Nothobranchius furzeri: one gene and its partners. The protein of the gene in region 1 purifies or fractionates together with the protein of each later gene. This does not show direct contact. Links are inferred from orthologs where the notes say so. Each region holds a gene or a part of one and is shown in the gene's direction. Other genes may lie near its edges. The genes, in order: rbx1, fbxo42 and cand1.

What was found.
Region 2: the proteins of rbx1 (region 1) and fbxo42 purify together in Homo sapiens (affinity purification with mass spectrometry; 4 studies listed by BioGRID and IntAct, with this or other methods). This does not show direct contact. The link is inferred for Nothobranchius furzeri from reciprocal best matches to the Homo sapiens genes RBX1 and FBXO42.
Region 3: the proteins of rbx1 (region 1) and cand1 purify together in Homo sapiens (affinity purification with western blotting; 6 studies listed by BioGRID and IntAct, with this or other methods). This does not show direct contact. The link is inferred for Nothobranchius furzeri from reciprocal best matches to the Homo sapiens genes RBX1 and CAND1.

The regions. Positions count from the first base shown.
Region 1 is NC_091752.1:65,786,332-65,789,502, reverse strand, and holds rbx1 (E3 ubiquitin-protein ligase RBX1), read left to right. Parts: upstream 1-1,012; 5' UTR 1,013-1,070; coding exon 1,071-1,148; intron 1,149-1,829; coding exon 1,830-1,908; intron 1,909-1,984; coding exon 1,985-2,055; intron 2,056-2,208; coding exon 2,209-2,294; intron 2,295-2,378; coding exon 2,379-2,391; 3' UTR 2,392-2,524; downstream 2,525-3,171. UniProt on the Homo sapiens protein: E3 ubiquitin ligase component of multiple cullin-RING-based E3 ubiquitin-protein ligase (CRLs) complexes which mediate the ubiquitination and subsequent proteasomal degradation of target proteins, including proteins involved in cell cycle progression, signal transduction, transcription and transcription-coupled nucleotide excision repair.
Region 2 is NC_091743.1:45,889,634-45,893,388, reverse strand, and holds the start of fbxo42 (F-box only protein 42), read left to right. Parts: upstream 1-897; 5' UTR 898-1,119; intron 1,120-1,867; exon of another isoform or gene 1,868-1,923; intron 1,924-2,012; 5' UTR 2,013-2,018; coding exon 2,019-2,292; intron 2,293-2,389; coding exon 2,390-2,506; intron 2,507-3,373; coding exon 3,374-3,508; intron 3,509-3,607; coding exon 3,608-3,755. UniProt on the Homo sapiens protein: Substrate-recognition component of some SCF (SKP1-CUL1-F-box protein)-type E3 ubiquitin ligase complex. Specifically recognizes p53/TP53, promoting its ubiquitination and degradation.
Region 3 is NC_091741.1:34,342,714-34,346,468, forward strand, and holds the start of cand1 (cullin-associated NEDD8-dissociated protein 1), read left to right. Parts: upstream 1-1,042; 5' UTR 1,043-1,262; coding exon 1,263-1,330; intron 1,331-3,755. UniProt on the Homo sapiens protein: Key assembly factor of SCF (SKP1-CUL1-F-box protein) E3 ubiquitin ligase complexes that promotes the exchange of the substrate-recognition F-box subunit in SCF complexes, thereby playing a key role in the cellular repertoire of SCF complexes.

The DNA.
Region 1 (3,171 bases):
TAAGAATTACATTTTTAAAATGAATAAAAATCCCTCTAAATCTTAGCGAAGCCAGCCATGCCCATGCTTCCAAATGGGAAGCAAATGAAGTCCTCTCGTAGATGTAGTTTTGCCCTGTGGCCGCCAGTGGGCGTATAATCGAATGTTTGTGGGGCTGATAGCTAGCTTCTTTAGCCTATTGATTTAATCTTGTTTAACACGAATAACTGAAATACATTTATCAAGTTTCATTAGTTAAATTGTTTTATTGTGTATTTTCCGATTTTATACTAACTGTGTTTTTAACGCCAATTTAAAAATCGTAATTTTTAAGTTGTATGAATGTAGTACCTGCAGCAACCCGATTTCTCCAGCAGAGAGCGCAAATTAAAGGATTGAGTACGCAGGTGTTTTAATACTCTGATGGATATATTTATTTGCATTATTTAGGTCAATCAAATAAAACGACAGATTGCAAGTAATTGAATTAAAAGTTTATTATATACAAAGAACAACCAGTATAAAGAACCGCATTTCTATTATGTTACAGGTTATGTCTGCTATGTTGGTCTTTTGCCACTGGAGGGCGTCAACTCCCCATTCTCGCTCATTTGCAGCGTTGTAGCTAGGGGAGTGTGTGGTACACAGTAGTGTGATGAGTATGACGCAGTGTGTAGCTCAGATAGATACACCTTTCTATACAGCATGAGAAGTTTTTTTTTTTTTTTTTTGCATGAGAAATTAAGGGTGTGTAAAAGCAATGAATAAAAGCAATACATGTGCTATTGATTTAACAAATTCTTTACAGAGAAATGTTAATAAGCAGGGGTTCCATGGTGTAATGGTTAGCACTCTGGACTCTGAATCCAGCGATCCGAGTTCAAATCTCGGTGGAACCTGACCTTTTAACCAATACTTCTTCAAATATTAAGAGTGTCAACGGTAACAATTCAGAAATACAACCTGATTTTGTTTTTTCAAAAATTATTAAGAAAATAATATTTTCTTTCGAAAATTTGCTTAATCTGGTCGAACAGGAAGTGACGCTATTTTCCGGTAAAACTTAGATAAACGCTTCCGGAGAGTTCAAAATGGCAGCAGCAATGGATGTTGACACGCCAAGCGGTACAAATAGTGGAGCAAGCAAGAAGCGCTTTGAAGTGAAAAAGGTACGATAGTTGAAAGTTTGTCTGTGTTGACTAAACTAAACGGTGCACTTTGTCAGCAACGCCGAAAGGTTTAGCCCAACATTAGCTAACGCTAGCTTGCTAAACACCGTTATCGGTGTTTAGCTGTTAGCCTGCTACAAGAAATAATTAATCATTATTCTGTTTATGGCCTTAAAGTCTAAACTAGAACTTGTAGAGAAATAAGAGCGATGATAAACTCTCAGTAGTTACACAATAACAGCACGATTTAAAAATGGACAAATACCTCTTTAATCTCTTAGTCTACATGCTAAATTAGCTTAGTCAGCTAAGCTGTACATCTCGAAATTTCCCAAGATTTAAAGTATTTAAATGACTGTCACATTTCCTCAGGATAAAATGTTAAGTAGTTTTGATGACAAGGTTTTTTTTCTCCTATTCATTACATAATTTAAAAGTAACGGTACTGATAGAGAAGGATTTTATTAATCAGATTTTAATTAACTCCTTTTCTAGATTGAGGTGTCCATGGAAGCATTTTTTAATCAAAGGTTGAAAAACTTTATTTGTAAGATAACTTTGAATTAGTACTGAATGTCAGAGACCCTACAATGAGCCATAGAATTAAGGTTTTTATTTCCAGGTATGAGGTCCTTCATTTTAAGTTACCTTCCTATGAACAGAATGTGATTTTTGTTCCAGTGGAATGCTGTTGCACTGTGGGCCTGGGACATAGTGGTGGATAATTGTGCTATCTGTAGGAACCACATCATGGATCTGTGTAAGTTCACATAGGGGTGTTTGATTGCATGTGAGTTGTTGGCAGCCCTCTTACACAATTCCTCATCCTTCATCAGGCATAGAGTGCCAGGCCAACCAAGCTTCTGCAACCTCAGAAGAGTGCACTGTGGCCTGGGGTGTCTGCAATGTGAGTTTCTAAGGTGCAACTTTCAGTAGGATGATAGATATGGGTCATTTGACTCTGAAAGGCACTCTACAAGTGCAGATCACTTATTTTTCAGTCTTTGCATCTTTGTTAAACTGCTATCCAGTCGTTTAAACATTTCCTTACCTTCCATAGCATGCCTTCCATTTCCACTGTATCTCCCGTTGGCTGAAGACCAGACAGGTGTGTCCCCTGGACAACAGGGAGTGGGAGTTTCAGAAGTGAGTCGGATCCATTAATGCATATATGATTTTGAGGATTGTTTGATGCTTGACTCAAACACATTTTCGTTTTTTCTTTCGCAGATACGGACACTAGTTGTGATATTGACCTGTTCCTTGGCTTCTGCGAGCATCAACCTTTCACTTTCCATTTTGCTTCCTGCTCATATACCTAGATGTTATTTTACATGTTTTGCTATGTTGTAATTCAATAAACTGTAAAACCATCAGTCTTCAGGAGGATGTAATCACATTTGAATTGAAGTCGTAAAACTAGATTAAGTGCACATGATATGCTCAACCATGCACCTTCATAGTTTAGTTCATGAGGTACATTGTGTTGGGACGAAAGTCACGAGCATCTACAGCCACGTGGAATGACATGAGATCTGACACGGCTGTAATCCTCAAGCTACAAAACAAGCAGCACAGCTGGATTAAACGTCTGGACTACACATACCGCCTGAATAATGAAATAACTCACATGCTTATTTAATTTAGTTTATTTAATAATCAGATTAATTTAAAAACCAATAAAATGGAACAAAATGTTTTTAAATAGTTTTATTGTGAATATTTTTCCAACAGGGTGAGACAGACATCCTTTTATTTGCATTTATAACAGATTAATAACAAAACATGCCAACGCTCGTGAGAGTTCGGCTGTGTTCAGAGACAGACAGAGGTTAAACCACGTATTAAATGGCTGTAGAAACGTTCATATCTTAATACGAGGGGGGAGGGGCAATCTAGCAGTGCAGCCGTTTCAATAAAAAAAAAAGATCAACCTGCTGTTAAATGAAGTTCCAGCTGAAACAAGGTTATCCCAGATTCCAACATCATTCCTAACCGTCGGGATGCTTTGATTAGATGTTGC
Region 2 (3,755 bases), on another chromosome or scaffold:
GCAGTACTGCAGGTTGGATAAACTAATCGAGATATACTCTCCATTTTGGTTAAATAAATGCGCCCTAATATGGAGAGATCCCTCTGAAGCCAAATATTTAGTTTGGCTTTAATTTCATTAAGTTTATTTGTTATGTTTGTCCTTAGGTTAAATTGTTGGTCTTTAGAAATATATGTTCCTATATTTAATTTCAGATTTGATGGGAATGTTACAAATTTCTTTTAGAGGGGAGTCATGAATAGCCAATAGTTCACATTTTTTCAAATTTAGCTTAAGTCCACATGCTGCAGAGAATAGCTTGATTTTATCAATAGCAATAGGAATTTGTTTATAATCTTTTAAGAAAAGCATGGTATCATCCGCTAATTGACTTATGATCAACTCTGTGCCAAGGACATTTAACTTTTTTAGATCCACACAGTTTTTTAAGTAGATTGCTAACATTTCACTAACTAATATGAAAAGGCAAGGAGAAATTGGGCAGCCTTGTGGTATGCCCACAGAGACATTGAACCTGGGGGTGGAACCTCTGGGTAACGAAACACAGCTGCTAATATTCCGATACAAACCTCTGATTAGATTAGTAAACTTAACTCCAAAGCCAAGATGTTCTAGAACTGAGAAGATAAATTGGTGTTCCACTGAATCGAATGCTTTATAGAAATCTAAAAATAATATGAAACCGTCATCATTTATCATATCACTGTATTCAATAATATCCATTACCAATCTTATATTGTTGTGAATAGATCTTCCTTTTAAAAATCCTGACTGTGTTTCCGAAACAATATCTGAAATTCCAGATTGAAGACGTATCTTGAAAATGTAAGTCAGAAGTTTATAATCTGTATAGGAGCGTTCAAAGGTGCCAGGATCTCCAACTGTGGAGATGATCCTAGGCAGCTGGGGGCGCAGTTCCTGCACCCGGCGACCCACCCTACTGGAACCTCAGCTGGACGGAGCCTGCTGGAGTGGAGCTCTGAAGAGGGAGCAAGCGGCTCTTCGAGCGGAAGATGGCGATTGCGTGGAAGCTGCAGAGGAGTCATCGGAGCTGATATAGGGAGGGAGGAGAGGAAAATACACACAGACAGCTCTGCAAATAACACACCTGAAACTACGGTACCTACTAAGCCTATGTTGCTATTCAGTGTAATTGTCAACATTTTAGGGAGGAACACTGTCATGTTAGGGCAACACTCACAGACGTACACACGGGCGAACAGATCATTGAGAAGGAAGGACCACAGAAATCAGCTAGCCCCTTAGCTTCTAAAATGCTATGCTAGCTGCTGTTAGCTGTAAGCTTGAGTATGTCACATCGACAAGACTAAAACGACTAAATATATATATGTATATATCGCTTGTCAGTTCGAATGTACTAAAGGGGAGATTTTAATCTAAAGTTGTATGTCGCTTGGTAAAGATTGAATTCTGTTTGCAGCCGTTAGCAGGGATGTAGGAAGGCAGTGTTAGCTAATGCTAATACTCTCTGAGAAGCGTTAAATTTTTAAACCTGAACCAAACGACTCAAATAAATGTTTTGTGACATTTTGAGCAAATGTAATAGATTTTTACTGCTCCGTTGTTTAGATAGTTTTAGAAATCATTTAGCATAATCAATACAATGGTTCATTTTGTTATGTGATTGGTAAAAGTGGCTAGCTAGACAAGGCTAATGTAATAACTGGGATGTGCTTAGTGGAAAGGCCAGCTTCACGGTCTAAAGAAAGAACACCATCGATTTCAAACAGTTGATGGATTATTTATTCGTGCCGTGGGCTAAAATGGCACTAAATGTTGATCACAACCTTGCACCATCATTAGCAGCTGCTCCTTCTGTTTTATGTAAGTTTTCATCCTCTTGTAGATTCAGTTGAAAGAAGCACAGTAAGGAAGTGGTGGACAAATCACGGATAAGCAAGTGTAAACATAAATTTCAATAGGTAACACATTCGGATGAAGCTGAAGCCGAACTCGCTCATTAACTCTGCTCAAAACACATGTCTCAACAGACAATAATGTCCCTATCCCCTGACAATGAAAATGGATACTTTGTTGCCATGGATACAGAGGATGATGGTACAGAGACTGCTGGGATAACAGAAGAAGAGGAGACAAAGATGGGGTCCTGTAGACAAGAAGGGGACGTGGACAGCTGTGCCAAAGATAAAGGGAGAACAATGGTTGAGTTGCCAGAGGAAGTTCTAGAATATATTTTATCCTTCCTCTCACCTTACCAGGAGCACAAGACCGCTGCGTTAGTGTGTAAGCAGTGGTATCGTCTCATTAAAGGTAGGACCATCCCATTTGCTTTTGCACTGTTTGTACCACCGTCTGTTGATGTGTTGTTCTTGCATTTTTTTTCTTACTTCCATTTTCTCTAATTTAGGTGTAGCTTATCAATGTTACCATGGTTTCTTGAGAGCTGTTCAAGAGGGAAATATCCAGTGGGAAAGTCGGACATACCCATATCCTGGAACCCCGATCACTCAGCGCTTCTCACACAGTCAGTACATTCTTATTTGCATCTTACACTGAAACACGCCAAACCTTTGTGACATCTGGATTTCTTTAAATTGAAAATAACTTGTTATTGTACTTTTCTTGTCTAATTGACAACTCAACACACTTAAACACTGCAAAGGGATCTATATATTAAAGAGCAGGTTCACTGAGAAATCGCTTTTCAGTCATTATTTTTTTAAAGTGATCAGTCACGCTTGAGTTTTGCACGGAGGCTGAACATAAAAATAGCCTTCCACCTCTACATCCTGCATTAGCTTCTGATAGAAAATAGGCAGAAAAACACTCTGTTCAAAAAAATCTGACAGATCTACGTCACACTGTCACTTCACATTCATGGACTCGGCCATCTTGGCCCACAGTGAGGAAGACTGTTGTTGGTTTAGCGTCCAGGAACCAGTAGAGAACGTCTCGGCTATTAGAAGCTAACCGTTAGCGTTAGCGACTCCCCCTCATGGCAGAGGATCATGTTTGTGTTATTTGTTGAGAATAAACATCAGTGTTGCAGAGTTGCTGTTAGCCAATCAGAGGCAAGATGTCCCGAATATCAGGAAATTAAAATCAAACCTGCTGCCACTTTCTTCTCCAGCTGAATATTACGTCCTCACGGCGCAACTGAGCCTCCCCCCCCCCCCCCCCCCCCCCCGGAGAATGACTTATAATATTTCCTTCCTACCAGAGACCAACGCCAGAAAGCAATCTTGGAAACTAAAGTTTAGCTGATCATAACGGCATAGATGACAAAACACCTTTTACAACTCTGCTGTTAATGTGCACGACATTATTCTGCATCGATTCTGTGTTTACATCTGATCTGTGCACGTCTTCTTGTTTTGGGGGAATGTTGCAGGTGCGTGCTATTACGACTCGAACCAGTCCATGTATGTGTTTGGGGGTTGCACTCAGAGTAGCTGCAACGCTGCCTTCAATGATCTATGGAGACTTGACCTCAACAGCAAGGAGTGGATCCGTCCTTTAGCCTCAGGTGAGAAACATTTTAGTGAAAACCAGAACCAAACAGGAACTCTGAGCCTTGTTTGAGTGTATTAAATTTGATTTCTTTATTTTGAAAATGATCTTCCAGGCTCCTATCCTTCTCCTAAAGCTGGAGCGACTCTAGTGATGCACAAAGATCTGTTAGTTTTGTTTGGGGGATGGACGCGGCCCAGCCCTTATCCTCTGCACCAGCCAGAAAGATTTTTTGATGAAATCCACACATATTCCCCATCAAA
Region 3 (3,755 bases), on another chromosome or scaffold:
CTACTACTTCCCTTGAAGTGCACTCTCAGCTCCATTTTTGTATTTTCATGCAAGACGTGGGTCAAAGCCAAGATGGCAGTGGTGGGAACTGCCACCAGGCTTCAGATCAGCTATTCAGAAACCTGTGTGTGACGTTTATTACAAAAAGTCAGTAGTTTTTGCAGCGTTAGCTCGGTGCAGACCCAGCAACTCCAGGCTCATGTATAGTAAACTACAAATACATCCCTCTTTAGATGTTTGAAAGGAGATAAACCGATAACCCCCGCCGGCTGAGAAAATAACCTCCATCTTTCAGTTCTTTTTAAAACACAGAAAAGGTTTATTTACCTCCAACGTTTCGTTTGCGGCTGCAAACATCATCAGGCTGGCACCGATGGTGGCGTCATTTCCTTCGTTTATCCGCGGGCAGCAGTTGTAAAAAGAACTGAAAGATGGAATTTGAAACTAAACACAGCAAGAACACACAAAAGAAGGAGAAAAAAATCTGTTTTAAATGTAACCTTCCTTCCAACATGAATGAGACATTAGACTGTTTTGTGATGATTTCATTGTAAATTTGTTACATATTGCTCCTTTAAAGTAGTGAAGGGATTCCACAAAAACTCAATAAAGGCACAGAAAAACTTAGCTCTATGCCAGGGCTGATGGGGAAAGATGAATCACATAATTATTTAATCAGATTAACACGCATTTAGAATGTTTTACTCATAAAAATGTTCAGTAAGTACATATTCGTGACTGTACACCTTGTGTTTAATAATGTAATAGTGATTTTTTTTGTGAATGACCCAACAGAATCAGCCTGAGCCTGGATTATCCGGGTTTATTAATTTATTAATACAATCTGATTACGGTAATCTGTGGCGCCTTCTGACAGGTGGTCTGGAGAATATTCCTCTCAAGTCGGTGCTTTTCCGTCTCTTTTTCACTTATGAGGTTAACTGTAACTAGTAATCCTGGTTGGGGTGTTTTTAAACTTGTGCGCAAAGGCGAAGCTGGCTCTACCGGGTGGATCTCCGGTATGAGGGAACAGTGACCTCAAACCCCGCAGCGTCCAGTCCCGCTCACTCCGCCCCTCTGCAGAGAACCGGAGCCCCATTCAAACTAAAGTCCGCGCCCCGGGATGCCACAGCGGCTGTAGAGGGAGATAACGGCGGCTACGGCAGCAGAAGAGGCAGAAACACACCCTTTCACCCAAAACCAGCCGCATTTGAGACGCCCAGCCGGGCTCAGTCAGCTAACAGGAGGCTAACGGCACCAACATGGCGAGCGCCTCGTACCACATCTCCAACCTGCTGGAGAAAATGACCTCCAGTGACAAAGATTTCAGGTAAATCTAACTCCAGACGGGTAGCTTTACATGTTGCTTATTAAAACAAACTCAAAGCGTTTCTTTAATAATTAGATTTAGTCAGACGCGCTGTTTTTGTGCGGATTTCAGGCATCTGTCAGGAAGGCCTCAGGCTAGCGTGCTGCTAGCGAAACAACGCTAACCTGCTGGTTAGCGGTCTGCTGAGGTTCGGGTCGGCCCGACAGCGGGTTTATACGGCATTAGCAGCTGGTTAGAGGGATAACCTGCTAGTTATAGAGAAAACCTGCTGCACATGGTGATGATCTGACACCTGAGTTGCACGGAAACGGTCGCTTGTTAGCGGCTAACCTGCTTGTAGCTGGGTAGCAGCCGCAGCGAAGCGTGCTGTTAGCGGCGCACTGGAGGATGTTTACCGAGGTAAAGTGACCAGGTGAGGGCAGGCAGGTGTCAGCTGATGGGGTTCGTGTTTAGGTGGTGCAGATGTGACTGTCTGGATGATCTTCAGCTCATCAGGATGGACGTTTGTTCACATGAATGTAGCTCAGAAGGAGCTCTAATTGGTTTCTTCCGCTCTGTTTATAAACTTCTCGGTGACTAATCAACATCGCGCGCTTTACTATGATTTGTTTGCCTTCTACAACAGAACCTTCGGTACAAACACACACAGTCAGTTACTAATTAGGAAAGAATCACCAGTGTTTATGGCACAGTACGTTTTGAACTACATTATCCAGCAATTCTGTCGTGCGCGATGCATTCTGGGTAGATGATCACGTTACATAGCAACGGGCGGAAGTGATGGTTCAGATGTGTGAACTGTACTGATGATGATCGTAAATGATGGTTCAGTCGTACTCCCCTAAACATGTGACCAGTTTAGTCACAGATGGACCTGAGAAAACCTGAGGCTGCACAGGTGTGACTCGTCCTAAAGAAGCCTGACTTGTACTCGTATGTCTGCGTGGCTTCAGAGACACTCAACGTCATGATGCATCAGCGTGAGGGCTCTCCGACAGGCTCGCAGAGGCTGGAGCCGTGACCAACTTTTCAGCTATCTGTTGAAATTGTCAGAGATTTCAAGCTTGTGATTGGTCAGGACGCTGCTTCCTTTAAATTAGTCAACAGCACCCCCATCGCCCCCTCAAAAAATAATGAGAGCTGAAGATATTTAGTGGCGAACACAGAACAGATTGAAAAACATCTCCGTCGATGCGTATGCAACTCCACACTCGAGCTGACGAAGAATTAGAAATGAGCCTTAATGCTGAAAGTCTCCCAGTGAGACGCGTGTTAGACCAGGGGTATTCAGTTCTGGGCCTGGAGGTCCAGCACATTTTAGTTTTAACTCAAAAAACCTGATTTCAATCAGCAGGTGATTAACCGGCTCCCGCAGAGCCTGATGAGCTGCTGCACAGGTAACTCAAGTGTATTGAATCAGAAAAACCACTAAAATGTGCTGGATACCAGACCTCCAGGAGCGGAGTCGAATACCCCTGCGTTAGACTATATGATGGTCTAAACCAATCAGAGGGAGTGATGGGAGGGGCCTCCACTCTGATTGGCTGGATCATAGCCAATCATGCAGATTAGGGTTATGAACGGACACATGGTTTAGGAGAGTAAAGGAAAGGTATGATTGTAATGTTTTTGTCAAGTTGAGCAGTCTGGAACCCAGCAGGAGCTCTGGCACAGAACCATCAACCTCCGAGGTTACGAGTCCTCATCAGGAGACAACATCGGATCATGAGCCACACATGAGCGGCTCTGATCTGGAGTCCCACAGCCTGTGAGCGGATCAAAGCAGGAAATGTTGACATCATCAAATTAAAAGGTGAAAATGGACAAAGCACGTAAAAAACGCGTTAAATGCTGACGTAGGTGCTCCTCCTCTTCCGCCTTTCTGCAGCACATGCAGTGTGTTGCTAGCATGATGATGGAATACAAAGATAGAAGTGAAGATTTAGTTTAAAGTTTCACTCGCGTAATACATTTTCAGTGGTCTCTAGTAGGAATGAATGCCTTGTAAGTTGTACTCTTGAGGAAACAAAGCTCTAGTGCGCCTGTTTCAGGAACTAGAAGTGAGCCACATCTGAGCTGAGCTTCTGATGGCAGGATTTGGAGTCCTATTTCCTGATATTTAGGCATCTCTCCTCTGATTGGCTAAAGCTAGGCGTACAGTGTATGACTTTTTCACTTTTGTGAGCCGGTTTTCCCCTCGTACGAGAATCTAGAAGGTCGGGGCGAGTTTTGTGCTGAGCATCGTGTAGTATACAGGAGGCTACGAGAGGCGATTAACACCACATGACCAGGTACCTACCGGTCAGCAGTCGTACACTCAGACACATTTCTGGCATATTGCATATTTAACTCGTCCCTCGTGAGGGTATCGGACTGTTAAAGCGGCACTGCGACCCAAAAAGTACCAGAACCGCTCACGGCACAT